Macaca mulatta: one gene and its partners. The protein of the gene in region 2 purifies or fractionates together with the protein of the main gene of each other region. This does not show direct contact. Links are inferred from orthologs where the notes say so. Each region holds a gene or a part of one and is shown on either strand. Other genes may lie near its edges. The genes, in order: PDLIM7, YAP1, DDX17, PALS1, CREB1, USP9X and PARP1.

Region 1 (4,205 bases), on a different chromosome or scaffold from region 2:
AGGTGGGGGTGAGTCAGCCTGAGCAGCCCAACCCCCCAGTCCCAGACGTTACCTCATCTCCCAGGCCTGGGCCCACGGCCAGCCCTCACCCCTCCCATCTCCCTCCATCCTGGGGTCAGGGGAGGGGGAGGGGACTGGCCTAACTCAGAAAAGCCCACCTCACCCACCCATGTGGGCCCAGGTCCAACTCCAGGGCTGGGATCAGCTAGTGGCCCCACCCACATGCCGGGGATGCTGACCAGGGAGCTGGAGCTTGGAGTGCCCCCAACAGGCCATATCTGAAAGTCATCTCCATCAGGGAAGAAACTGAGGTTCAGGGTCCCCAGACGCATTGGGCCAGCACTTTCCCAAGGGGCAGGACGCCGGGTGGGTTTTCAGAGCTGTGTGAGGACTGTGTAGGAGGATGTGTGTGGTAGGGCGACCACTGCCCTCACTACCCTGCTGGTGGGGCAGGTTCCCGGAGAACACCGTGGAAGGACCCCTGGGAAGAGCCTACCCTAACCCCCATGCCCAACTCCTACAGACAGACTCCACCTTGACGCCCTCCTCAGGCCACAACCCTCTGGGCCCTTCCAGGCTGGGCTTGCCCTGGGCTTCCTGACAACAGCTGCCTGCCCACCCATCGCCTGGGTGGGCCTCTCTGGGCAGGCGGATATAGGGGCAGGAAGTCCCCACCCCCTGCTGACCCCCAGGCCAGTCAGAGATGCCAGCCCACAGGTTGGCCTCACCCACTCTGGGCAGGCAATTTGTTGTGTCTCACAACTGGACCATACAGCTGGAGCTGCAGCCTGATGACCAGCTGAGGGGCCCAGCAGTGGGGTTCAGGGGGCCAGGCCTAGGCCAGCCCTTTTCAGCTTTGCAGACTGCAGCCACTGTTGGCCATCCCAGCGTGGGGCCGCATTCTTGGGCTTATAAGGCAATCCCCCTGCTACAGGGAGGAGCCAGCCTTCAGCTCCACCCCCACCAGGGCAGGCTCTTGGAAGCTGAAGTTAAGCCCCTAGAGAGGAGCCCTGTCCTGCACTTCTGCTTGGGGTCAAAGGCCACCACGTCCTGAATGGGAATGGTGGATGCAGGTCCTTACATAGGCTGGGGAGAGACCCCTTCCACCCACAACAAATGCACACCATCCCGCGCTTCAATTCCAATCCCTGCTTCAACATGGACTCGATGAGCGAGCCCCTCCACCTCTTCATGAGTTCTTCTCTCATCTGGAAAAACAGGATGAGGACTGCTATTCCCTGGGCAGAAGTGTGTCTGAAGTGAAATCCTACAGTCACAGTGCCCTGCCTGGGGCCTGGCTCCAAGCATTGCCACCTCAAGTTTAGATACCTCCTGGAAATGTCAGGCTCCCATCCTGCACAATGATCCTCCCTCCCGCCCTCAGAAGTGGCCACAGGAGCTTGGGAGAACAGCATCCGGTACAGTGCAGGACTGGGGAAGCCTGGGTGCTCCCTCCCAGTATCCACCTCATTGGGAGTCATTGCAGCGGGCAGGTACCACTACATCTCGGACCTGGACATCTCCTGGCCTGCTAGCCCCTGACCAGCTCCTGTTAGGACTCCCCCATCACCCTCTGGAGACCTGAGCACCCAAAGACCGCTGGGGGAGCCCCCTCCCCAAACCTAGGCTCACCCGGGAAATGGAGAGGGGCACATTGAAGTCCTTGCCCCCTTGCAGCCGGAAGCCCCAAGGTGCCGGCCCCTCCAGCACTACCTTGAAGGAATCCATGATGCCGGCTCCTGAGAGGAGAGGAGAGAAGAGGTGAGTGGCCAGCATGGTGGGCAGGCAGGCAAGCAGGCAGGCCGGCCGGCCCAACTCAAGATACCAGGCTTGGACAGGGGCCAGGCAGGCACGGGCAGCCCCTGAGCACACGCAAGCCATAGTAGGCAGGTATTTTGTCAGGCTGGGCTGGGCTGCTGGCGGACCTCACTTTGGAAAGACAGGAACAGCCTCCCTCCCCTTGGGACTGGAACTGTGAGGGGTGCCTGAATCCAGAGTGGAGGTTCTTTTCAACCAGGGGTGGGCCGAGGGACTAAACTGGCGCGGCCTCCCCGCAAGCCAGCCTGGAGCCTCGGGCGGCCGGGTGAGTCAGGGGCCGGCTCTCCTCTCCCCCGCCCCCAGGTCCCGGCAGGCAGGCCGCGGCTGGAGCCTGCTCGGACTATATAAGGCGTGTAAGCTGACACTGTGCGGAGAGCCAGCGCAGGGAGCACACGGGGGCTTGGGACACGAGGGGGAGGGGAGGGAGGCGGCTGCAGCGGATCCTCCCAGCCATTCCGGGACCAGTCGAGGCTGCTGGGAGCCAGGGCGGGACCCCTGGGTGCTGAAGAAGGGGAAGGCGGGAGTGGGGTGCGGCCCCTGTGGAGACAGGTGGGGGCTGGGACCCTAAAGCATAGCTTGGAGGGGGATCCTTCCCGGAGCCCAATGGGGATGGTGCCTCCCACACAGAACTGCTCCCACACCGACGTGACTCAGTTTCCCCCTAGTCCCCCGTCCGGGCCCCATGCATTAGACTGGCCCCGGCCGCAGGAAGCAGCGCAGGCGCCAATCGGCCCCGCCGCAGCCGGCTTCGCGGCAGGAAGGCGGGGGCGGGGGCGGAGGCAGGGGCAAGGGCCCGCGGGAGGAAGCACAGCCTGGACCGCGACCCCCAGTGCCCTTTGTGGTCCTCAGCAGGCCCCAGGCGCCCGCCTGGTCCAGCCCAAGACGCCCCGCGCGGTCGTCGATACCTGCTCGGCCCCGCCAGTGCGCTGCTCGGCGTCGGGCTCCAGGGAGCCGCGTTGGGATCGGCCGCCAGTGTTCTGACCCCGCCCCCGCAGTCACCCTCCACTTTGAGCGCGCGGAAGGGGGCGGGGCACACGGCCACGCCCTCGTCGTGACCACGCCCACTAGACGATCTCCGTTGGTGGAAAGCGCCACCCAGCTCTTCCGTCCCGCCCAATCACCACGTCCCGTCGGGCTGCGAGCTGAGAGGCCTCCCCGACCCGGGCCCTGCAGTGGGGCGGAGTCGGGGCGGGGCCGGGGCTGCGGGTCGCCTCATTAGGGAGGAGCTGCCTCGCCCAGTCCCCGCACCGCCCGCTGGCGGAGGGAGGGGAAAGCGGACCTGCAAACCAGACCGACCTGGGCCCTAGTCGTCTCTGAACCTTAGTTTGCTACTCCGAAAAATGGGACGATCATACTCGCCTCGCAGGGCTGCTGCGAGGGTCGGTATCGTAGGTGCAACCATCGGGGGCTGCAGGATTTCTAAATCAGAGGGCCTGGGAGGAGATAAGGTGGGGAAGTTGAGGGGGACAGGGGCGTTTAAAGCTTGATTTGCGCAACGCTCTACCGAAGGCAGGAACACAGGGCAGGAGCGGACGCCGGGGGTCCCTGGCCTTCGGGCCTTGCCCTCGCTCGCATCCCTACAACCCCGACCCGACCCGCACACCGTCGGAAGCGCCGCGTCCCGCTCCACCTTGGCCAGAGCGGACTGCGCCCCGTGGGAGGCGTCCTCAGAGTCCCGGCCCCGCGTTCAGCCCGGGCACTAGGGCCCGCGGCGCGGACACTGAGAGCATGCGGGTGTCGGGGTGAGGGAAGGGGCGTCCACCCTCCACTCGCTTGGTGGTCCCGGCCGGTCAGCTCCTCCTAGGACATGGTTGCTGCAGTTCTCCCCTCTCCATCCACAGTCATCACACCCACCCTCTTCTGCATAAAACGCTGTGAGAGTTCTCATCGTTAAAGACCTTCTCTTGACCCCACATCCCTCTCCAACTACTAGCCTTTAATTCTGCTCTTGAAAGTCAAATTCCTCCAGGGAGTTGTCTGTTTATCGCGTCTCCACTTGCTTTCCTTCAGTTATCTCTTGAAGCCATGCCAGGCAGGCTCTTGTCCGCACCGGTCCCCTGAGATCTTTCTTCTCAAGGTCACCTGTGACCTGGAGGCCATCGGGCCATGGAATCCGTGGTGGTTCAGTTTCATCCTGCCCCTCCTAGGGGCAGCATGGGTCCGGGTGGATTCTCGTCCCCCGAAACACCCTTTTTCCCTGACTTCACAGCTTCTCCCTGCCCCACTGGCCCCTCCTCCCCATCCTCCTCTGCCTCTGGCTTTGGCCGTCTGATGCCATCTCTCTTTATTCTCACCCCCTAAGACCCGGTACCGTCCTGTGGCTTTCAATACCACCTGTATGCCAAGGCATCTCATGTTTCATGGCCAGCCTGACCTCTCCCCAGGAA
Region 2 (3,500 bases):
TATGGCATAAAACAAAATGGCGAATGGCCCCATTTCTAGACTTTACAAATTATCTTAAAAACAGTATGATTTTAACATTAGTAATTAAAGAACTGTTTTTTAGTTTTTTGATTTTGACAGTTTTTATTCATAGTGAAATTGAGACCTGTATTTACTCAGAACAACTACTACTCGGTAACAACAAAATGAAAAACAATGAAAATAGGTTACATAAAACATTTTTAAATTGCTTTATTTTTTTCTATTAGCCACATAATTATATTTTTGATGGTTCTACCGTGTTCTAACAATAGCAGGTGAAACATCTTCTTTATGGTAATTTGTTAGAAAGTCAGAGGTACAATAATGCTTCCTTTCTCCATCTTTTTTATGTCAGATAAAGAAACATTTCTTTCAAGATCACTTTATAGGGGCCAAAAGGAAAACTTCCCCTCTGCCCTCTAAAGGTTCGCTGAAAATGAACTAATAGACAAATTAATTGGAGAAAAGGGCATACAAATTTATTTAAAGTACCCAAGTATGGGGGAAATTGCAAGAGAATGATTACCCAATAACTAAGTTCCAAATACTATATAATACCTTTCTTCACAGGGGAAGGGAACATGAGGGAAATGAGGCCATTTTGAAGGGCAGTAAATGATTCGTAGGAAGAATGAATGGGCCCAGTGCTCAGACAATGGTTAGTAAATAATTCTCTTTGGAAACTGAATGGGATCTGAGAACAGACAATAGTCTGGGCAAAGTTCCTCTGAGCTTTCTAGGTGTGATATTTAATTTTTAGTCTTTTCCTCTGTCATACAAGTTTCAGTCTTCTCTGGTTAATGAAATTTTGGGGAGGGGATCAACGGCAATTGTATTCCTTTTTGGGGGGTCTGGTTTCTAGGTAGATAAAGGAACTTCAAAGAACAGCCTCATCCTGTGCTTTGGGAGAGAACTTGAGGCTGCTTCCTTAGTTTAGTCTGTCAAAGAATCATATTTTGTAGCATCATTTTCTGAGCCCCAACAAGTTCCTGACATCATATGTTGGCACATACTGTCTTACTCCTTCTATCAGGGTTTACCTTTGATGCCAATCACACTAGATGGACAGATTACCGACAAAGCACAGTTTAAAAGTGAGCCTGTCTCAGAAGCCATGGCTTAATTTAACTCCTTAAATACCAGTTCCTCAAACCCCAAATCAGAGTTCAGGTAGTACTGAGTTCATATATTTTTACTGACACTCAAGAGATACTTTTAAAATATAGCCCTAAAAAAACAAAAAAAAAACAAAAAAAAAACAGACCTTTAAGTGCCTACTTCCTGGTAACGGAAATGTAGAGTTGTGTTTTTTTTTTTTTTTTTTTTTTTTTTAGAGACAGGGTCTTACACCATGTTGCCCAGGCTGGTTTCAAACTCCTGGGCTCAAGGAAGCCTCCTGCCTCAGTCTCCCAAAGTGCTGGGATTAGAGGCATGGGCCACCATGAGCCACCATGCCTGACCAAGTATGATGATTTTTAAATGTTTATACTTAGCATGCTGTGATTTAGGTGGGGAAAAAACAGCATAGATACATGTATTTTATGTATGTAAACAGAGTATCTCTGGAAAAATGAACAAAAAACCTAAGAAACTCATAGTTATTCAGGCCCCATAGGAGAGAACCAGAAAAACAGGGAAAAGCTCTTATTTTGAGTCTACTTTCACCTTTTGTACATTTATCACTATTATACCTTGTTTCTATTATCTATTCAAAAAAATTTTATATAGAAATTTAAAAAATATCTACACTACTTAACAAAAGACCTTATCCCCAATATCTGAACTTAGATTTAACCACTCTGAAATAAGTAAAAATTAATGTTGACATTAATTATATATATGAGGAACATAAAGACCAACAGTACCTTCTAGAAGAAAGCTGATAGAAATGGTGATTAAAGGGCTTCAAGCTCTCTACTGCTATGTCCTACTTTTCCCAACATAAAAAAACATCCATAAGCAGGTCATTTTAAAGCACACTGGCATCTTCTAAACTTGAAGATAACTTTTTTATTTTTGAGACAGAGTCACGCTCTGTCACCCAGGCTCGAGCGCAGTGGCATAATCTTGGCTCACTGAACCTCTGCCTCTGAGGCTCAAGTGATTCTTGTGCCTCAACCTCCCGAGTAGCTGGGATTACAGGTGTGCGCCACCACACTTGGCTAATTTTTATATTTTTAGTAGAGATGGGGTTTCGCTAAGTTGTCCAGGCTGGCCTTGAACTCCTGGCCTCAAGTGATCTGCCCACTCTGGCCTCCCAAAGTGCTGGGATTACAGGCGTGAGCCACCGCACCTGGCCAAAGGTAATATTTATTTTGTTTTAAATGAAAATTCTTAGATTCGGTAATACTGAAGTATATTTCATTTGAGAAATGTCATATTGGTGTATCCCACCACATAAGTTATTAATAAAGGATATTTTCTCCCAAGTGATGTTCTAGAATTTCCCCTTTAGTGAAATCCTCAGAAAAACAGCAATCCATAATTCTATGTAGGTTAGAGAAAGCATCCTTGCTTCCTTCACTTCTTGCTCAATTGCAATGACCATGACCAAAACAGCTCTTCACGATACAGGTTTCCAAGTCACATCCCTTGAAACCTGATCAAAGGCCATTCACAGTCACGAAACTAAGACAAGGACAGGGCTGGATAGAATGCTTCTGTGTCGCTCAGTTTTACAAAGACAACATTCCTCTGTAACTAATAAATGTTAAAATGCAATCTGCCCAACTTTAAGAAAACAAACCCCAAAAAGTGGAAGGCTGGTTTCTAACCTGTGGCCTCACCTGCCGAAGCAGTTCTTGTTGTTTCAGCCGCAGTCTCTCCTTCTCCATCTGGAGCTGCTGCAGTCGCATCTGTTGCTGCTGGTTGGAGCTGCTGCCACCCATGACGCCTCCCTGTGGGCTCTGGGGAGCCAGGGGTGGTGGTTGTTTCACTGGAGCACTCTGACTGATTCTCTGGTTCATGGCTGAAATGAAAAGAAAAAAAAAAATCTGTCCTAAAAAACTAGCGAAGGAAGAGAAAATGATAATTTAATTATTCAAAAGCAATTTGGGATATTCAATGTAGCTTTTCTGGGCAAGAAGACTGGAAATAACCTAAAAATCCATCAATATTACAATGACTACATTATTATTACTGTTGTCACAAGATACAAGGAAGTCATAAGAGAAAAGAAACAAGAGGTAGTTTTAACAGGCAATGATGATAAGGAATAGTTTCTAAGGACTTACTAAATTAAAAGCAAGGTAAAGTGTTAAAAAAAGAGGGGAGGGAGTGGGAGTGAATATATATTGCATATTCAGAGAATATAAAAATTGATGAATAGCTAAGAAGCAACTAACATCTTTTGGTTCCAGAGATGAGAAACTAGCTGACTAAAGGACAAAGCTGGAGAACCTTATTTATAACTTCTGAAGTGTGAATGATGTAAATTCATTACTTCTTATGAAATATAAAAATGTAATTAAAAATTCATC
Region 3 (3,500 bases), on a different chromosome or scaffold from region 2:
GTGACAAAGTTGAAAGAGCCAGCATCATGGACCATGAGCACATACTAAAAGTGCCCTCAGTAATTCAATTAACTATACAGCAGGGGCAAGACAAACAGGCCTTTGGGCCACATGTGGCACAACACCCACTTTTGCAAATAAATATTGTTGGAACACAGCCATGTTATCTCTGAGACATGGTCCCACTCTGTTACCCAGGCTGGAGTGCAGTGGCACGATTTTGGCTCACTCCAACCTCTGTCTCCTAGACTCAAGCAATCCTCCCACCTCAATCTCCGGAGTAGCTGGGGTTACAGGCGTGCACCACCAAGCTTGGCTAAGTTTTGTTTTGCCTTTTTTTTTTTTTTTTTTTTTTTTAAAGAGACAGTACTTCACTATGTTGCCCAGACTGGTCTTGAACTCCTGGGATCAGGTGATCCATGCACCTCGGCCTCCCAAAGTGTTGGGATTATAGGCATGAGCCGCCAACAGTGCCCAGTGTAGGCCATTTCTTTACATATTATCTATGGCCTACAGCTTTTGTCCTAAAACAGCAGCGCTGAGTGGCTATAACAGAGACCACCATTTGGTTTACAAAGCCAAGCATACTATCTGGCCCTTTACAGAAAGTTTGCCTATCCCTGAAATAGAGCATGGACATTCACTTATGGTGGGGACAAAAAAAAAAAATCAACAAAAAATGCTTAAACTTACCATTAAGTACCCAATCTCTTTCTGGTTGACTCTTGTCTCCATGGATACACATAGCTGGCCAACTATCAAAAGAAAAATAACCGATATTTAAAAAATATTTTAAAATGGGGAAAATCAAACTTTAAAGCCAAATGCTATAATGCAATTTTTTTAAGGTTTGTCAGGCTTCATGAATAGATGACTGTGCTCATTAAAAGAGCAAACTGCATGGATAGGCATTATTGAAATATTACACAGCATTTGGAATACCAATTTAGAAATTTCCAGTTAACTATAAAACCAGAGGTTAACTGCCTTGGTGCTATACTCACCCATCTCTGCGCATCCTTCGAGTCAGATCATCACAGCGTCTCTTTGTCTCCACAAATATTATTGTTTTGTTTTCCTTTTCAGCCATTATTTCTTCCATTAGTTGGATCAATCTGAAAACAAGACCAACAATGCAGTCATCACACAGAAAGTATCTATTATGTGGAAGATTATGTCTACAATATCAACTCCCAAAGCTATAGTACTTTCTTTGCACATTACGTTTTTAAAATTTTAAACCAACATTAATATGGAGTCCTGAGTCAGGTTCTGCTATGTGCTCAAGAAATACTAATTCATACCACTCATACCATCCTCACAGCAAGTCTCAAGTGAGTGGTATTATTCCCATGTCCCAGATGAAGAAACTGCGGCACCAAGACATAAAATTGTGCAAAATTATACAGCTGGTAATCAGCAGAGCTGAGATTCAAACTCAAGAATTCAGAATCCTTGCATTTAACCATAATGCTCTGACAAATGACATAAAGATGGATTATCAGAAAGTTAGCAATGCTTTTAATGCTTTCAGGCCTCAAAATATACTGGTTTCTGTAATACTGATTTTGGAGGGTTATTAATAGAAAAGGTTTATTGGTATTATCAAATCAGAGAGTAAAATCTCTTTCATACTTGTGGTCTTTTTCACTTTCCATGCAGACATCCACTATCTGGAGGATGTTGTGGTTGGCACTCAACTCCAGATTGCCTACGTTGATCTGGGTGTAATCACGAAGGAAATCCTCTGCAAGCTGTCTTACTTCTTTTGGCCAGGTTGCGCTCCACATCAACGTCTGCCTATCAGGCTATCAAAAAAGGAAAGGCTTTCTTTCAGGCTAAGGAGCTTGGACAAATGGCATAAAGACTGCTTATTATTAGTTTTACGCACCCTGATTTGGTCAACAATTTTACGGATCTGGGGTTCAAATCCCATATCAAGCATTCTGTCAGCTTCATCCAACACAAGGTAAGTACATCGGCGAAGATTTGTCTTTCCTGACTCCAGGAAATCTATCAGACGTCCAGGAGTGGCTATGCAGATCTCAACACCTGTAAAACAAAACCAATGATCCAGCAAATCAGCTAGGTGCAGTGCTCACACCTGTATTCCAGCACTTCGGGAAGTGGAGGCGCGAAGATAGCTTGAAGCCGGGAGTTCACAACCAGCCTGGTCAACATAGCAAGACCCCGACTCTACAAAAACGCAGCAGCACCAGCCCTGGTGGCTGTACTCAATGCTGCAGAGAAGCTAAATTTTAACAAAGTACCTGCAAAAGCATGATGTCGGGATTTATGTACAATCACCAAATCCTCACAAAGTTTCCAGTCATGTTGAACTTTCTCTAACAAAATAGTTATTTTGGTCACATGTGAGAATTTCTAAGCTGTTGAAATTCTCAGTTTTTCACAAGAACCCACTTTTTTCTCCAATTTCATCCACAGGAATTGGTAAAGATAAACTAACAATTCTTTTACACGATATTATTTTATTACCTCTTTCCAAGTCTCGAATCTGGGGACCTTTAGGAGCACCTCCATAAATACAAGTACTCTTCAATCTAGAACATTTGCCATAGTCATCGGCCACCTGCTGTACTTGCTGGGCAAGTTCTCTGGTAGGAGCCAGAACTAGACACTGAAATCAACAAAAAGACATTTGAGACCCCACCCAAGGTTTAAAAACAAACAAAAAAACCAAAAATCTTTGTTGTCTAATCTAGTACATTAAAAGTGATGGGGTGAAGATCAGAAGGAGGGAATATTAGTACAATGGAATGTAGAAGAAATTATTAGAACTTCATATTTAGCATTTGGAATGATACTGGTATCCTCGTCACTTTTACTATGACACATTATCAAATCATTATAGTTTATATGTACTTTTAAGTACGTATACAGATTGTATTACCTGATTTTAAGTATACAATTCTCATTTACAGGTTGAGCATCCTAAACCCGAAAAACCAAAATGTTCCAGCATTACTTTGAGAATCATATTGGTCCTCAAAATTTGGATTTGTTTTGTTTTGTCTCACTCTATCGCCCAGGCTGGAGGGCAGTGGTGCAATGTCAACTCATTGTAACCTCTGCCTCCTGGGTTCAAATGATTCTCCTGCGCCTCAGTCTTCTGAGTAGCTGGGACTGAAGGCATGCGCCACCACGCCCAGCTAATTATTGTATTTTTCTAGAGATGGGGTTTCCCCATGTTGGCCAGGCTAGTCTCGAATTCCTGACCTCACGTGATCTGCCCACTTTGGCCTCCCAAAGTGCTGGGATTACAGGTGTGAGCCATTGTGCCTGGCCTAAAATTTGAAATTTTGGATGGTCAACCTGACTTAAACTAGAAGTCACAAAACTGGCAGAAGGACACATTCCTGACCTCTAGTTTAAGCACTTCACCAGGTAGATAAGGCAAAAACAATGAAAATTTACATGTAATCTGACAAAACTGTGTACAATCTGGCCAAATAATACAAAAATCAAGGTATCATATACCA
Region 4 (4,266 bases), on a different chromosome or scaffold from region 2:
AAGGCAACTTACTGGTTTAACAATAAGACATCCTGAGAAGAGCAGTGAACTTAGAATATGGAGACAAGCATTTTAGCATTCATGTAGTTCCAAGTCTGCCACTAACTAGCAGTCAGACTACGGATTACTTAACTCCTTCAACCCTCACTGTCTTTTTCGTGGAAAATGAAGAGGTTAAGATTACTTCTAACTCAACGATCCTATGATTCAGTAAATATATGACCAAAAATTATAAAGGCCGGGTGTGGAGGCTCACGCCTGTAATCCCAGCACTTTGGGAGGCAGAGGCGGGCGGATCATGAGGTCAGGAAATCGAGATCATCCTGGCTAACACGGTGAAACCCCGTCTCTACTTAAAAAAAAAAAAATACAAAAAATTAGGTGGGCATGATGGCGTGGGCCTGTAGTCCCAGCTACTCGGGAGGCTGAGGCAGGAGAAAGGCCTTAACCCGGGAGGCGGAGCTTGCAGTGAGTCGGGATCGCGCCACTGCACTACAGCCTGAGTGAGATATATGTGTGTGTGTGTGTGTGTGTGTGTGTGTGTGTGTGTGTGTATTCTGGCGGGGGGTGTGTGTGCGTGTGTGTGTGTATTCTGGCGGTGGCCCACGCCTGTAATCCCAGCACTTCGGGAGGCCGAGGCGGGTGGATCACCTGAGGTCAGAAGTTCGAGGCCAGCCTGGCCAACAGGTGAAACCCCGTCGCTACTAAAAATACAAAAATTAGCCGGGTGTGGTGGCAGGCGCCTGTAGTCCCAGCTAGCTGGAAGGCTGAGGCAGGAGAATCAGTTGAACCCGGGAGATGGAGACTGCAGTGAGCCAAGATCGCGCCACTGCACTCCAGCCTGGGCAACAGCGAGACTCTGTCTCGCAAAAAAAAAAAGAAAAAGAAAAAGAAAAGAAAATTATATTGTAAAGCACATATGTCAAGACACTATTTTTTCTAGACACTCTGAAATCAGAAAATATCAGAGAAACAGGGCATCTCAGTATAACCTATTAAATTGATCAAGTTTCTTGGAATGTGTGATAAAATTTTATTTTTTAAATTTTTTCCATGACAGCCCTCAGGAGATCCTGAAAACATGTACCCCGTGATGAGATTTTTAATCAAAACCATAATTCAAGATCATGTAAAAGCTAAATCCACTGTACTGACTTGGGTCACCCTCAGGAAGAACTTATATATTCTCTCCCGTTTTAACATTCTAAAACAAGTTAATGTTAATCAATCCACCTTAACTTGTCAAGTTCAAGTCCGTCTAGCCAAAAGTAATTCAGGTACATGGTAAAATTTACTCGATTTTTAAAGATTAAATAATGAATTGCTTTTCCTACTGTTGCCTTTTTTATCTATAAATCTCTTACATTATAATTTAATAGCTCATCCTACTGCAAATAGAAAGCCTATAAAACCTATCCACAATACGCTATGTCCACAGGGATCTAGTAAAAAAAAAAAAAAAAATCGGTAGTTCTTAATTCAAGGACGCTTATTTAATAAGTTTCATTACCACCAATACTTTAAAGACACCAATAACCAACACGTCATTTGTTCCTACTGCAGAATTTAACAGGTTATTAACTTCTGGTAAAATCCAAAAGCATAATTAGTAAACTATCATTAAAACATGATATTGTTTTTTTAAAAAATCGGAAATATTAACACCTTTCACTGTGTCAAATCAAAATTTCAAAATTTTTGTTCAACTGACTTTCCGAATCTAAATTTTTACTATTCTAAACAAGTATGGAGACAAAACACACACTCTATACTACGTCTAAAATCTTCCCAATCATCAGATTTTAATTTTAGCATAAACTGCCAAGAAAAACCTTTCGACCGAAACTTACATTCCATACACATTACTGTACGTCAATCAACAGAAGGTGAGTTATGATCATTAGAAAGTTACATAATTTACTACAAAGATCGTTTCAAGCAACCTTCATTAAACATAGAATACAACAATGTACAGGCTTCAAATTCAACGTGCAACCTTAAATTATCAGAAACCATCAACAAAATTAGGCTTTTCTTTAAAACTGGTCACAAGGAAGCAGGAACTGTTTGCCTGTTTAAGAACGCAATAGGCAGCAGAATACCAGCAGCTGAGTCAGGCAGAGGAACGCTGACTACATTCTGACTTCTAAAGGAAAGCGTTCCCTCGCCGGATTCCCAGACCCGGCCGGGGGGAGTCCCGCGCGTCGCGACATCGGGGCGGGAGCGCAGGGGGCAGACGACTCCCCGCCGCGCCCCCTGCACCTCGGGCCCGGCTGGCTGTGGCCCGCGCCAAGGTGCATGCCCAGCCAAGCAGAAGGAGCGGGCACCGCGCAGGCAGCGTTGCTCCGAGGGACAAAGGTTGGGCTCACACCCTCCACCGCCGAAGCTGCCGCGCCTGAGGAAGCCCGCCTGGCGGCCCGGGGTCTCCCGCTGGCCAGAGTTTGAGCGGCGTGTGGGGGAAGGGGAGCCCGGCCGCCCCTCCCCCGCCGCGCTCCCGGGGACCTGTTGATTAAGATCTCCACAGCCCAGCCGCCGCCGAACCACCTCTTACCTCCGCGCCTCGGCTCCGCGGAGCCTCCCGCCCGGCTGCTCCTAAGCACTGCAGAAGCGACAGCTCTCCGGCGGCCCTTAAAATACCGGATAAAGAATCCAGAAACTCCCGACTCCCCACCTCAGAATCCTTAGTCCCCGCCCCCGCCCCACCGCCAACCTCCTCCGTCGCCGCCGTCGCCGCCGCAGCCGCCAGCAACTCCACTTCTAGACCGCGCGAGACCGGCCCCTGCGGCCGCCGCGAGACCGCGCACGCGCCCCCGGGACTCTGGCGCAGCGGGCGCGCGGATCCCAGTCCCACCCCGCCCGTGAGAGGCTGGCGCGGCTCGCCCAATCCCGAGCCGGCGCGGAGAGAGCGCCCGGTCATTGGTCCTCTCCACAGCTCCCGCCGGGTGCGCGCAGTCGCGCGCCTCTAAGTCTAAAACCCGGGCTGCTAGGAGCTGGCTGTCCCTGCGGAGCCGCTTCGGGGTTTGGCCCGCGGGCTGTGTGGGGACGCGAGGCTTCCCTGGGTTTCTACATCCCTTGGCTGTTCTGTCTCTGGATGACGGCTCCTGAAGAAAATCCGAGTCCTCCTGAAGAGATTCCTCATGTCCTGTCTAGTTAGTCTCACAATCTAACATTTCTTTTTTTAAAAAAAATGACGTAAACACCTGGATGTGTGCAGTGTTCCACAGAAGACTCCAGAAAGCCACCAGCAGCACTGACTTCTGAAAACCAGAAAGCAAGGATGGCAAGGACTAGAACTATTTCCCAGAAGTCTCCCGAAGGGACAGAGAGTTACGCAGACCAGCCCATGTCCCGGGCATGGCTGGCGCCCTCGGGACCTGGATGTGCCACCCTTGGAATGGGGCAGGGCTCTGGCGGGTGCGGGCGGAAGTCAGAGCAGATTGGAGTACGTTCTAAGGAGAAATACCAGCAAATGTGTCTCGACACTTGCAATAAAAGCCCTCGGATGGTCTCTGTCTTGACAGTACCTTCCGAGGAAGCCCATCCCACCTTTGAACCCTTGCAAGGTTTGTTAATCGACCTCTCCTTCTATGAGGCCAAAATATGCTTATGATTCCAGCCGAGGTGTACGGTTTCCCCCAGGGGGCATAGTCCTCCCTCAAAGCCTTCGTATATGCCATTTCCATTTCTCTCGGTTTTCCTCATTTTGTCCCACTGTGTTTTTCCATCTCGCAACGTCCTCAGGTCCTGACTTTCAAGTTCTTTCACATTCTTCCCCATTACGCTCCTCTGGACAGCCTATGGATTGTTAGTGTCCCTCACTAAGGACACTGTGATGCTCTGAACGAAGCAAACTATTGTTCGTGGTGGTGAAGATCTTTGGGGATGCCTACCCTTCCCAGATTTGTTATCCCTCTCAAATCTGATAAGCATTCTGTCCAAGTGTTTAATAAGACAGAGCTGAGGACAGAAGTCTGCTGTATGCCACTAAAGACCTTAATGCTCCTGTCATCAAAAAATTTCTCAGTAGGCTTCGAATACAGATGGACGACACAACCGAACTGTCTTCTTGGCCCATATTCCTCCACAAAGATGCCAGAACTGGCGAAATGCCTAACTGAAATCCAGATAAAGTCTCCAGGATTCCTAGAAACTATTAGCCATACCCCAAAAGGAAAAAAACGGTTAGTGTGTTTGACTTACTTCCTTTTCTAAGTTCGTTTGTTTTTGTTTTTGTTTGAGAGGGGGTTTTGCTCTTTTGTCCAGGCT
Region 5 (3,500 bases), on a different chromosome or scaffold from region 2:
CATGTCAATTTGGCAATCAACACTTCTTCATTGCACCTTACTTACTTTATGCATGCGGCCCACACATTACTTCAGCTCAAGAGGCTGGGGTAATTCTGTCCCTAAGGCAATCAAGGAGCTCAGCACAAACCTTGAAATCATTTTAAAAAAGATTTTCTTTTCCTCATTTCTCCCATCAATTTACAAGTAAACAAATTATTACTTCTTGAGGAGGGTGGGGGTTGAAAAGCAGAAGTCTCTTCATGATTCCTGGCGTTGAAAATTTCTTGAGGGGAGAAGTGGAGGCAGGTGTTGGAACATTCACAGTTTAATGCAAAAGCACAAATGAATGAAATTCTGTAGTTGCTTTCAGGCAGTTTTGCGCATAGAAAAAAAGAAATGTTTAGAAAATAAAATGTTTATTTTGTCTTTCAGGTTGTGGCCAAGCCAGTCCATTTTCCACCTTAACAGGTGAAAATTTAAATCCCAAATTAATCTGATTTGTGGCAGTAAAGGTCCTTAAGTGCTTTTAGCTCCTCAATCAATGTCTTGTTTTGATTTTCAAGCACTGCCACTCTGTTTTCTAAACATTTCACATATTCTTTCTTCTTTCTACGACACTCTCGAGCTGCTTCCCTACAAGCAAAAGATGGGAAAAATAATGCAAATGATTTCCACATATTTATTTTGGATTACCTTTTTTTTTTTCTTTTTTAAAGAAATAGCTCACAGCAACCAACATTTTAGTATATATTAAGAATTGGAAAAGATATACAGAATGACTTGGAAATTACCTTATATTAAAAATTTTAATCTGGCCAGGCGTTGTAGCTCACGCCTGTAATCCCAGCACTTTGGGGGGCCAAGGCAGAGGGGGATCACCTGAGGTCAGGAGGTCAAGATCAGCCTGGCCAACATGGCGAAACCCCTCTCTACTAAAAATACAAAAATTAGCAGCATGTGCCTGTAGTCCCAGCTACTTGGAAGGCTGAGGTGCGGGCATCGCTTGAACCTGGGAGGCAGAGGCTGTAGTGCGCTGAGATTGCGCCACTGCACTCCAGCCTGAGTGACAAGAGTAAGACTCCGTCTCAAAACAAACAAACAAACAACTCCATAAACAAATAAGACCTAAATGACCACTTAAAAATTATACCTCTCACTATTAAGATATTCTGCATAATTCCTGCAAAACTTGAAATTCTATCCATATCAACAACTAAGAAAACATTAAAGCTAAATTTCAATGTGTAACAATCCTTTAAATAGAAAATCTTACAAACTAATCATTTCAGGGCATTTAAAAAATCTAACAGTCTCTTCAATAAATGGTGCTGGGAAACCTGGATATCCACTGCAAAAGAATGAGGTTGGACTTCACCTTATGTCATACACAAATATTAACTCAAAATAGATCAAAGACCTAAACATAAGACCTAAAACTATAAAACTTCTAGAAGAAAACCTCTCTGACATTGGATTTGGCAGTGATGTCTTAAATACAATACCAAAAGCAGAGGTAACAAAAGCAAAATAGACAAATAGGGCTATATCAAACTAGGAAACTTCTGCATATCAAAAGACACAATAAATAGTAAAAAGGCAACCTACAGAATGAGAAGAAATATCTGCAAATCATGTATCTGCTAAGGGGTTAAGATATAGAATAGGCAAGGTGTACGGCTCATGCCTATAATCACAGCACTTTGGGAGGCTGAGGTGCGAGAAATCTCTTGAACCCATGTGTTCAAGACCAGCCTGGGCAATATAGTGAGACCCTATCTCTATAAAAAATATTTAAAAAATCTAGCCAGGTGTGGTGGCACATGCCTGTAGTCCCAGCTGCTCAGGAAGCTGAGGTAGGAGGACTGCTTGAGCCCAGGAGGTCTTAGGTTGCAGTGAGCCATGATCCTGCCACCTGCATTCCAGCCTGGGCGACAAACCAAGACCCTGTCTCAATTAAAAATTAGTTAGGTGGTGTGTGCCTGTAGTCTCAGCTACTCAGGAAGCTGAGGTTGGAGGCCGGGAGGTCGAGGCTGCAGTAAGCCATGATCATGCTGCTATACCACAGCTTGGGAGACAGCTAGTAAAACGCTGTCTCAAAATAAAGGAAAAAAAAAAAAGATCTAGAATATATAACGAACTTTTGAACTCAACAGCAAAATAACCCAATTTAAAAAATGGGCATAGGGACTTGAACATAGATTTCTCCAGAGATATATAAATGGCCTATAAAAAGATGCTCAACATAGACCGGGCGCGGTGGCTCATGCCTGTAATCCCAGCACTTTGGGAGGCTGAGGCGAGTGGATCACGAGGTCAGTTCAAGACCAGCCTGGCCAACATGGTGAAACCCCATCTCTACTAAAAATACAAAAATTAGCTGGGCATGGTGGCGGGTGCCTGCAGTCCCAGCTACTTGGGAGGCTGAGGCAGGAGAATCGCTTAAACCCGGGAGGTAGAGGTTGCAGTAAGCCGAGATTGCGCCACTGCACTCTAGCCTGGGCAACAGAGCAAGACTCCATCTCAGGGGGGGAAAAAAAAAGATGCTCAACATCACAAATCATTAGGGAAATGCAAATCAAAACCACTAGTTATCACCTCACAACCATTAGGATGGCTACTATCAAAAACCACCACCAGCAGAAAATACCAGTTGTTGATGAGGATGTGAGGAAACTGGAACTCTTGCATACTGTCGGTGGGAATGTAAAATGGTGCAGCTGCTATGGAAAATGGAATGGAGGTTCCTCAAAAAATTAAAAACAAAATTTACCATATGATCCAGCAATTCTACTTTTTCCTACATATCCAAAAGAATTGAAAACAAGGTCTCAACACCTGTGTTCATTGCAGCATTATTCACAATAGCCAAGAGGTGGAAGCAGCCCAAATGTCCATCAGCAGATGAGTGGTAAGCAAAATGTGGTATATACATACAATGTAATATTAATATTATTCAGACTTAGGAAGGCCCTCTGCATGCTAAAACACAGATGAACCTTGAGGGCATTATGCTAACACAAGCTAGTCTCAAAAAGACAAATATTGTGTAATTTCTCTTATGAGGCATCTAAAGTCAATGATATTCATAGAAACAGGACTTAGATTGGTGGCTGCCAGGGGCTTGGGGGAATGAGGAAATGGGGAGTTGTTGTTTAATGGGTATAGAGTTTCAGTTTTGCAAGATGAACAAGTTCTGGAAATCTGCTGCACCACAATGTGAATGTACTTAACACGACTGAACTGTATACTTAAAACTGATGAAGATGGTAAATTTTGTTATATTTTTTACCATGATTAAAAATAATATTATTTAAAAAATCTAACATAGATTAAAAATAATTAAAAATTGTTCTTTAGCAAGTTACTCAAACTAAACCACTAAATTATTTTTTTAGCTCTGTGTGGTCAAGGGCCACAATCTTGTTACTTAAATCTTAATTTTCTGACTGTAAAAAAGACATGGTAATATTTTCTACCTCAAAAGGTTTGTGAGAACTGGTGTGGTGGCTCACCCCTGT
Region 6 (4,285 bases), on a different chromosome or scaffold from region 2:
CTATAACTGATGTTTAAATATTGATCTTATATCCTGCAGTTTCCAGAACTTGCTTATTGGCTTTATTAGGTTTTTTTTATAGTGGATTTCCCAAGATTTTCTATATATAAAATCATGTTATGTGAAAGTAGCGATAGTTTAATTGTTCCTTTCTTATCTGGATGTCTTTCATTTCTTTTTCAGGCTAGAACTGCAAGTACAATATTGAACAGAATTGGTGAGAGGGGACAATCCTTGTTAAAGGTGCACTTTTGATAGGGTTAAAAGACCAGTGTTCAACACTTTCCAATCCTGACCTTGGGCAAATCATTTACCCTTTCTGTTTCCTTATCTAAAATCGAAGATAACAGCCTACAGTGTACACGGGTGGTCGTGTCTACTTTTTAGAAGCCCATGAGCTAGTGGGTAAGCAAATGATTCATGGAAATAATTACAAAAACAAGGTAACATATGCTAAGAGTTATTAGGGCTATGAATGATGTATCTTGGATACCCTATTAGGTAATTTTGTGGTGAAAAATTTGTAAACAATCTAGTGCTAAATAGAGAAATGGTTTAAAAATTTAAGATACCAATAACTTGCTTTCACTGTCACCTAAATTAGTTTGGTTCCATTTTTAACAGTCTTTTATTACAAACTGATATAATCATAGCATAACTAAATTCAACCCTGTTCTCTATAAAATAGATCTCGTTTTGTAAGGTTTTACTATGATTTTGCATGCCATTTGATGTCCACAGGTAGTTTTAAGTCAAAAGGAAATCTGTAAATTAGGAACTGTTAATTTCCTCTTCATTTGGGCATCCTAGGCAGACTGTATAGAATTGTTCCAAGCACCCCATTAATTTGAGATTAGCCTAAGTTTTTCCTACGCCTGCACTTTGGAATATAAACATGTAGAAAATAGTCCATGACACAGCGGATGGGTTCATAAGTTTCTTCCGGGTTCTAACACCGAATCGTGCTGATGATCTGGCAATGGAGGCTAATCTTGCCATATCAAGTACGGCCTATTCGCTAAGCCGTCTGGGGTACTTTATAATTTTTTTCTTTCCTGGTCTGTTTGAAGGGCTCCTATAGCCAACAAGGTTGTCAGTCCCGTCAGTTACGCTGTGAGGACGCCTAAACGCTTTCAAGTACTGATGCTGCGCGATCGTGTGAAAGTGTTTCCCAGAGCACCTCCCTCGCGGGGTGGGGAAAAGGACCTCACTCCCCACGCCCCCTCCTTCCGCTGCAGGAGATAGCCACACCTTCCCCCTATCGGCGCCAAGCAGGTGGCCAGGCCCTCGGGACCTCGCGCCCCCGCAGCCCAGTGGCCCGGCCAGCTCGTGCGTCACGTGACGCGGGTCAGCTGCGCCGCCGGGACCTCCAGGCACCGCGGCGGCGACAGCCCAGCGCGTGGTCTCGGGATCTCATCTTTCCGCGCCCCTCCCCCCACGATCCCGGAAAAGGGGGAGGCCGGTGACGTCATCATCCGGGTTCTTGTCGGTGGGGCCACGGTTCACAATGGAACAAAAACAAGCGGCCAGAGTCAAACTATGAGCGACGCGGCTGCGGCTCACGCGATTAACCCCGTCGTGACCGCACACCCCGCCAGTCCCTGCCGCCCAGCCCCTCCGGCGTGGTGTGCCAGATCTTTTCGGGCCTCCCTTCCCCAACTTCGGTCCTAGAGCCACCTCTGCCCTCGTCCCGCTCCTGAGCCGAGGGGCATGGAACAGGATTTCTGGCGGTAGCACGACCCTGAAGGGGCCAGCCGGAAGAAACGGTACTGCGCGAACAATCTTTACCGCATTGTCTTCCCCTCCCCCACCCTAGCTCTCCGGGTTCCCAGCGGCTCGCGCCCAAGCCCGGCCCCCTCGGCGGCTCGCGCTGCTCTCCCAGCCTTGACGGTCCGGGGTGGAGGCGGGAGAAGAGGGGGCAGCTGAGCGGGAGGGGGCTGGGCAGGAGCAGGGGGAGGCCCGAAAGGAGGGGCCTGAGAGGGGCGGGGTCTGACGGGGGCGGAGAACTTCGGGTCTTGGGCGGCTCTGGGGCTAGTGGGAGTCTGCGCCGCCGCCGCCACCGCTGCTGCCGCCGCCGTCGCCGCTACCGCCGCCGCCACTGGCCGAGCGGTTTTTTTTTTTTTTTGGTTTGCCGGATCCGCCATATTGACGAGGACGGGCATCCGCGGCTGCGGACGCTAGTCTCCGCCGCCGCCGGAGCCGCAACCTCTCCGCACCCGGCCCCGTCAGGGCCTCTGCCGCGCCGAGCCCCTCCCCGCCTTGCACAGCTCCCGGGCCTCGCGGGAGCCCTCCGCCGCCGCCTCTCTCTCGCGGGAGGCGGCCGCCTTAGCGCCCGGTGCTTGGGTCGGCGCCGGGAGCTAGGAGAGAGCTGTTGCAAAGCAACCAGGCCCGGAACGGGGACAGAGGCGGCGACTAGGGGAAGGTGAAGCCGTCGCTGCAGGAGGAGGAGCAGGAGGAGGTGACGCAGGAGAAACGCACCGCCCGGAGCCCGTCTGAGCTCAGCGAGAGCCCCAGCCTGAGGGGAGAAGGGGGAAGAGGGCCGTAGCCGGCCAAGGAGGAGGAGGAGGCGGGCGCGGCGAGAAGCGAGTTCCGGCGCCGGGTGTGCAGCCTTTTGGTTGAGACGCCCTCAGCCCCGAGCCCGGCCGCCGCAGCCTTTCAATACACTTTGTTGCCGGTCACCCACGGGCCTGGGATGCACCCAGGGTAGGTCTTGTCCCGAGACCGAGCCCCAGCGTCGCCTGCTGCCTCCCGCCTCCACGTGCCCTGGTTCTGAGAAGACGTCTGTGTCGTGCGGTGAGTGGCCAGCTGCACCGGGGCGACGCGCCTTCCCGGGGCCAACAGCTGGATGTGGGTGAGGGGAGGAGGGCGAGGGGGGTGTGCGTGTGTGTGAGCTTCTTCCCTCGGCGGCTGCCGGCCGGGCCGGGGCTTCCCCGTTCCCCCTCCTCCGGCCCGGGCTGGGCGGGCGCGCGGGGCCGTGTTGTGTGTGGAGCCGGTGTCCCGAGAGCGTGTCTTGTGTGTTTTGGACTGTAAGGGAAAATGGCTGACGGCTCCGTCCCTCCCCCTCCTCCCCCTTCCCGTCCTGTCTGGGGCCGAGTAGGAGGATGGAGTCTCCGGGCGTGGCGGGCAGCCCCCCCGCCGTCCGCACCCGGGGCCCGGGTCGGTTTGGGGGCTGGCCGCCCCCGGCCCGGCGGCCGCTTTCCTGCCCGGTCTGGTTCCACTTGACACCAAACGCCATTACTGAGGTGGAGTGATTTGGAGTCGGGGAGCTAGGCCTCGGCTACGCCTGGCTATCAGGCCTGACGACTTGTCCGCCTCCCCCCACCCTCCCGCGATAACCCGCAGTTTCTCCCCGGCCCTGGGCTCCTGGAGTCGGAGCTGGGTTATCGGCCTCCTACACTTCCTTAACCCCGCTTAATTTGCAGAGGGCCAAAGCCGTGAAAGGGGTTTTTGAGTGCAGAAATCGCTTCCAAGCTAGCTTGGACCTATTATCTTTCTATTTTTAACTGTTTCTGCAAATATTAGCATGTGCGAGTTTATTAGTGATCAGATCTTCAGATTCTTGTGACGTGAGGCTTAGGGTTGGATAAATGGCTGATTTTTCATTCATTGTGAAATAAGTTACAGAGTTATATAGAGCAGGTGTATAGATGGCTTCTTCAATTATTTGTGTGGATTTCTGTAGCGACTAGAACTTACACGAGAATTTGCAAAATTTCTAGTAGAACCTGCTTAAATTAAGCATGTTATTTTTTGGAAGTTCCATAGTTATAACGTTAATTGAATTTACACGGTGTAGTTTACAGGTGTATATAATTGTTTCAGATTGTCTTTTAGTTTAAGCAAGTTGTAGGTATAGATTATTCATACTTTATTTTTCGGCGAGAGAAGTGTGTGTGCCGCTCTTTTACCTGGAAACCCATGAGTCCCTGAATCTACCTAACGTATGTATACTTTCACTTTTGAGGGGAATAATTTGGGGTGCATTGATTAGGAAACTTTCCAGCAGGTACTTAACCCTCTCGGAGCTAATTACCCTTAGGTAACTCCTTCACCATGACTAGCTTGGCTGGTTAGTACACTTGAACTTAAAAATAGAGACTACAAACTCTCCTTTAGATCTCGCTGGTCTTCTAATTCGCTGGGCTGCCATTTTGGTTTCAGCAAATGCCTTCAAATTCTTGAAGAATTATGTATTAAATATAAAAAATGTCAACATTCTTTTTCTCAATTTTTAAACTAATGTGCTGTGTCATACATCTAACTTTAACCCTTTAAACTTTATCGT
Region 7 (3,500 bases), on a different chromosome or scaffold from region 2:
CACGTCTCCATTCCTGGTGTCCCGGCGTATGCTGTGTGCAACGGAGAGGAGATGTCGAGGGAGCCCTTAAAAATGAAGCTGGGAAATGGAGCAGACGTGTGTGCCTGCAGCTTCACCAGGGGAGTTAAAATCCTCCTTTGGTACTAACAGCAACCCTATAGGATATGATAGGGCTGGCGTTTTTGTCTCCATTTTACAGAGGTGGAATCTGAGCAGAGATGGTTAATAACTTGCTTATTTTCCTGGGGAAGGAGGAGACTCCCTCAGACTTTAAAATGGAGAGGCTGATAGCTTCCTCAGCAAGCTTGATTGTTGTGAGAATAAATGAGATGAGGCCAGGCGCAGTGGCTCGCGCCTGTAATCCCAGCAATTTGGGAGGCTGAGGCAGGCGGATCACTTGAGGCCAGGAGTTTGAGACTAGCCTGGCCAACATGGTGAAACACCATTTCTATTAAAAATACAAAAATTAGCTGGGCGTGGTGTTGCACACCTGTAATCCCAGCCACTCAGGACACAGAGGCAGGAGAATTGCTTGAACCCAGAAGGTGGAGGTTGCAGTGAGCTGAGATCTCACCACTGCACTCCAGCCTGGGTGACAGAGTGAGACTCCATCTCAAAGAAAAAGAATAAGTGAGATGACACGTAAAAGCATCCAACCAAGAGTAGTCACTTTAATAAAGATTAAAACTTCCATTTTCAGAAGAGTTTAAATACATTGCTCTGTGATACTGAATATAATATACCATCAAGGAAATTAGTGTTTGTGAATCATTCCTACTCTAAGATTGGTGGAGAACAGCCATACCCTGCCTCCTCTAGTTGCTGATAAACGTGGGCCCTGGGCTCAGCCTAGCACTTCCAGGCTCTTACCTTGTGTCTCTGGGGATTGGTTTCTGAGAGTTGGTTCCAGGAGCCTTGGTGCAATCTCCCCCAAACCCTTAGGGCCTCCTCCTCACCTTCCACAGTATTCTCTGAGAGACCACACAGCAGGCTTAATTTGGTGTCCACAGGAGCATGACCAGGAGTCAAATCCTGTGCTGATCACCCAGGTTTGGAGTGGCAGCTTGCTGGTGCACCAGGGTATAACTGGAGGCTCAGCTTGACCGGGGCTCCTCCTCCAGTTGAATTCTTCCTTTGAAAAGAGCTGGCCTCTCAGCCACTGGGTCTTGTCCATAGGCTCAGAACGACCTGATCTGGAACATCAAGGATGAGCTAAAGAAAGTGTGTTCGACTAATGACCTGAAGGAGCTACTCATCTTCAACAAGCAGCAAGTGCCTTCTGGGGAGTCGGCGGTGAGCTGCCTTTGTGTTAAGTGGGACACGCATGTGAGGCTGACCCCGTCGTTGTGGAGTGACTGTCCCAATGGAGTGTGGGAGGCCCTCCGTGTGAACACCTGCTGGTATTAATTGCAAGGAGTATAAATCGTGGTTGTGTTGCACGGTCATCACCACCATCGTGGTCACCATTTTTCTGGGATGGATGGGGCCGGCATTCACATGCCCCACTAGACATCTTCCACATGTTAGTGCTTGTTCTAGAGTGCCAGGCCTGTGGAGTGAAGAGCCCCCTCCTGAGGGATGGCATGACGGCGTCCCATCAGTGTCCCCAGCTGGCCCTTCTCTGCTGTCATTCTTGGGAGTTGACTTGGCACTGTACTTTGTGCAATGCCAGTGGATGCTCTGGGCTCTCCCTTCATTTCTCAATCACTGAGGGATGGGGGAGCTGCAGGAACACTTGGAAATAAGGTCTCCTACTTTACAAGAATCCAAGCTCCTTTGTAAACGAAGGGCGGGGTGGGGTGTTAAGAGCCCCACAGCAAGCCCACAGCAAGAAGTCTCTTTGTAGAGAGTGAAATCTGTGCAAGTCCCTCCATCCCACATTAGTAAGTGTCCTTTTCTGTAGTCCCGCATTTGCCCTCTGATGTGTTTCTCCACTGGCTGCAGATCTTGGACCGAGTAGCCGATGGCATGGCGTTCGGTGCCCTCCTTCCCTGCAAGGAATGCTCGGGTCAGCTGGTCTTCAAGAGTGATGCTTATTACTGCACTGGGGACGTCACTGCCTGGACCAAGTGTATGGTCAAGACACAGACACCCAACCGGAAGGAGTGGGTAACCCCAAAGGTAAGGGGTGGGGGAAGATCCTGGGATCTGTTGGGAGAAAAACCTGGCCCCACTTTCTGCGCTTGTTCATACTTCAGGTCCCTGAGATTGCAGGGCCTTGTTCCTCAGACTTCTTTACAGCTATGTCATCCTGTTAACCAGAATATAAAATTATATGTTTGCAAACTACACGAATGTAGAACCAAAGCTCCTCTAAGTATGAACTGTCCATTTGGTGTAAAATGTTGCTTGCAAAGACCATAAATAATTTTTATTTATTGAATGCCTTCTATGTGCCAGGCACAGTTCTAGGCTTGAGGGACATATGGGGAAGAAATGGATAGTAATTCTTGCTTTCTGATACAAGTTTTTTTCAAGGACGTTTCCTTGCCTAGTGCCAGCAGAAGAATTGGATCCAAAGTTCACATATCTCCTAGTATTGCACGTTCTCTCTTTTTTTAATGGAACTGCTTATGGAATTCTCAACGCAAAATACCTCCACGGGGAACCCCCTTTGGAGCCATGCTGGTGGGGTTCTGGCAGTATCTTTGTGGGGCTGGCTGCTCCAAGGACCTCGCCTGTGCCCGCTCAGACTCAGCAGGATCCAGGCCCAGCAGCCTGGGTAGGTGCAGAGCTCTGCCACTCGCCAAGCTGCTTCCCTCGCTGTTGCCTGCTCCTAGGTGGAGCATTTGGAACAGCGGCACACAGTACACCCTCAGGAATCGTTACCCGAGTAACAGTCGACATTACTTGCTCTACACCTACAACTGAACTCCATTTCCACCAGCTCCTGACTCACTTGTTCACTGCCATGATTGCATGATCCCCCCTAATTTTCTCTGTATGCCTTTACTTGAGTGCTTCCTGTAAAATAAATCTGAGCTTAGCACTTCCCCACCCTTAAAATCTTATACTGATTCCCCGATTTTTCTGGGTATGCAAATCTTCCAGACCCTTATGTGGTATTTGTATTTCTTTTACTATCTTCGATGGGGAAATAGTAAGATGGCAGTAAGCAATGTGCTATCCCTTGTATTTTATATATCAATTTTTGAGCATGTATATACATTTTTAAAGGTTATGTGCATGTGTGAGACAAGTTTTCAGTCTGGCACTACTTGCTGCCCATGCAGTGACACTGTTGCCTCCAGGCACTTGTCCCACAGAATCAAGGCCAGCTCCGTAGCTTGTCCTCAGAGCCCTCTGTGATGCGGCTCTGCTGGCCATCTGCAGCCTCTTTCTGCCACCCTTTTCCTCCTTCTCACATACCCTTCTCCCCACCCCACCGCCAGTCTTGCTCATTCTTTTTAGAAGTACCTAGCAATAGGGCACATGTGCTACTCAGATGGCTGTGCTTAGGCAGTCCCCTGTGTTTTCAGCTCCCAGTGGGCTTAGCAGAT

The links.
Region 1: the proteins of YAP1 (region 2) and PDLIM7 purify together in Homo sapiens (affinity purification with mass spectrometry; 3 studies listed by BioGRID and IntAct, with this or other methods). This does not show direct contact. The link is inferred for Macaca mulatta from reciprocal best matches to the Homo sapiens genes YAP1 and PDLIM7.
Region 3: the proteins of YAP1 (region 2) and DDX17 purify together in Homo sapiens (affinity purification with mass spectrometry; 3 studies listed by BioGRID and IntAct, with this or other methods). This does not show direct contact. The link is inferred for Macaca mulatta from reciprocal best matches to the Homo sapiens genes YAP1 and DDX17.
Region 4: the proteins of YAP1 (region 2) and PALS1 purify together in Homo sapiens (affinity purification with mass spectrometry; 6 studies listed by BioGRID and IntAct, counting the BioPlex papers as one, with this or other methods). This does not show direct contact. The link is inferred for Macaca mulatta from reciprocal best matches to the Homo sapiens genes YAP1 and PALS1.
Region 5: the proteins of YAP1 (region 2) and CREB1 purify together in Homo sapiens (affinity purification with western blotting, with the first as the bait; 3 studies listed by BioGRID). This does not show direct contact. The link is inferred for Macaca mulatta from reciprocal best matches to the Homo sapiens genes YAP1 and CREB1.
Region 6: the proteins of YAP1 (region 2) and USP9X purify together in Homo sapiens (affinity purification with western blotting; 3 studies listed by BioGRID, with this or other methods). This does not show direct contact. The link is inferred for Macaca mulatta from reciprocal best matches to the Homo sapiens genes YAP1 and USP9X.
Region 7: the proteins of YAP1 (region 2) and PARP1 purify together in Homo sapiens (affinity purification with mass spectrometry, with the first as the bait; 3 studies listed by BioGRID). This does not show direct contact. The link is inferred for Macaca mulatta from reciprocal best matches to the Homo sapiens genes YAP1 and PARP1.

The regions. Positions count from the first base shown.
Region 1 is NC_133411.1:186,479,743-186,483,947, forward strand, and holds the start of PDLIM7 (PDZ and LIM domain protein 7), read right to left. Parts: upstream 2,801-4,205; 5' UTR 2,724-2,800; intron 2,356-2,723; exon of another isoform or gene 1,926-2,355; intron 1,740-1,925; 5' UTR 1,729-1,739; coding exon 1,633-1,728; intron 1-1,632. UniProt on the Homo sapiens protein: May function as a scaffold on which the coordinated assembly of proteins can occur. May play a role as an adapter that, via its PDZ domain, localizes LIM-binding proteins to actin filaments of both skeletal muscle and nonmuscle tissues.
Region 2 is NC_133419.1:103,075,980-103,079,479, reverse strand, and holds part of YAP1 (transcriptional coactivator YAP1), read right to left. Parts: intron 2,990-3,500; coding exon 2,796-2,989; intron 1-2,795. UniProt on the Homo sapiens protein: Transcriptional regulator with dual roles as a coactivator and corepressor. Critical downstream regulatory target in the Hippo signaling pathway, crucial for organ size control and tumor suppression by restricting proliferation and promoting apoptosis.
Region 3 is NC_133415.1:13,039,060-13,042,559, reverse strand, and holds part of DDX17 (probable ATP-dependent RNA helicase DDX17 precursor), read right to left. Parts: intron 2,639-3,500; coding exon 2,497-2,638; intron 2,053-2,496; coding exon 1,892-2,052; intron 1,809-1,891; coding exon 1,636-1,808; intron 1,116-1,635; coding exon 1,005-1,115; intron 756-1,004; coding exon 694-755; intron 1-693. UniProt on the Homo sapiens protein: As an RNA helicase, unwinds RNA and alters RNA structures through ATP binding and hydrolysis.
Region 4 is NC_133412.1:140,407,796-140,412,061, reverse strand, and holds the start of PALS1 (protein PALS1), read right to left. Parts: upstream 2,801-4,266; 5' UTR 2,711-2,800; exon of another isoform or gene 2,552-2,710; intron 2,226-2,551; exon of another isoform or gene 2,103-2,225; intron 1-2,102. UniProt on the Homo sapiens protein: Plays a role in tight junction biogenesis and in the establishment of cell polarity in epithelial cells.
Region 5 is NC_133417.1:112,863,871-112,867,370, reverse strand, and holds part of CREB1 (cyclic AMP-responsive element-binding protein 1), read right to left. Parts: intron 616-3,500; coding exon 471-615; 3' UTR 451-470; coding exon of another isoform or gene 415-450; 3' UTR 1-414.
Region 6 is NC_133426.1:40,965,861-40,970,145, forward strand, and holds the start of USP9X (ubiquitin carboxyl-terminal hydrolase 9X), read left to right. Parts: upstream 1-1,485; 5' UTR 1,486-1,766; intron 1,767-2,126; exon of another isoform or gene 2,127-2,793; intron 2,794-4,285.
Region 7 is NC_133406.1:84,145,320-84,148,819, reverse strand, and holds part of PARP1 (poly [ADP-ribose] polymerase 1), read left to right. Parts: intron 1-1,176; coding exon 1,177-1,293; intron 1,294-1,944; coding exon 1,945-2,121; intron 2,122-3,500. UniProt on the Homo sapiens protein: Poly-ADP-ribosyltransferase that mediates poly-ADP-ribosylation of proteins and plays a key role in DNA repair.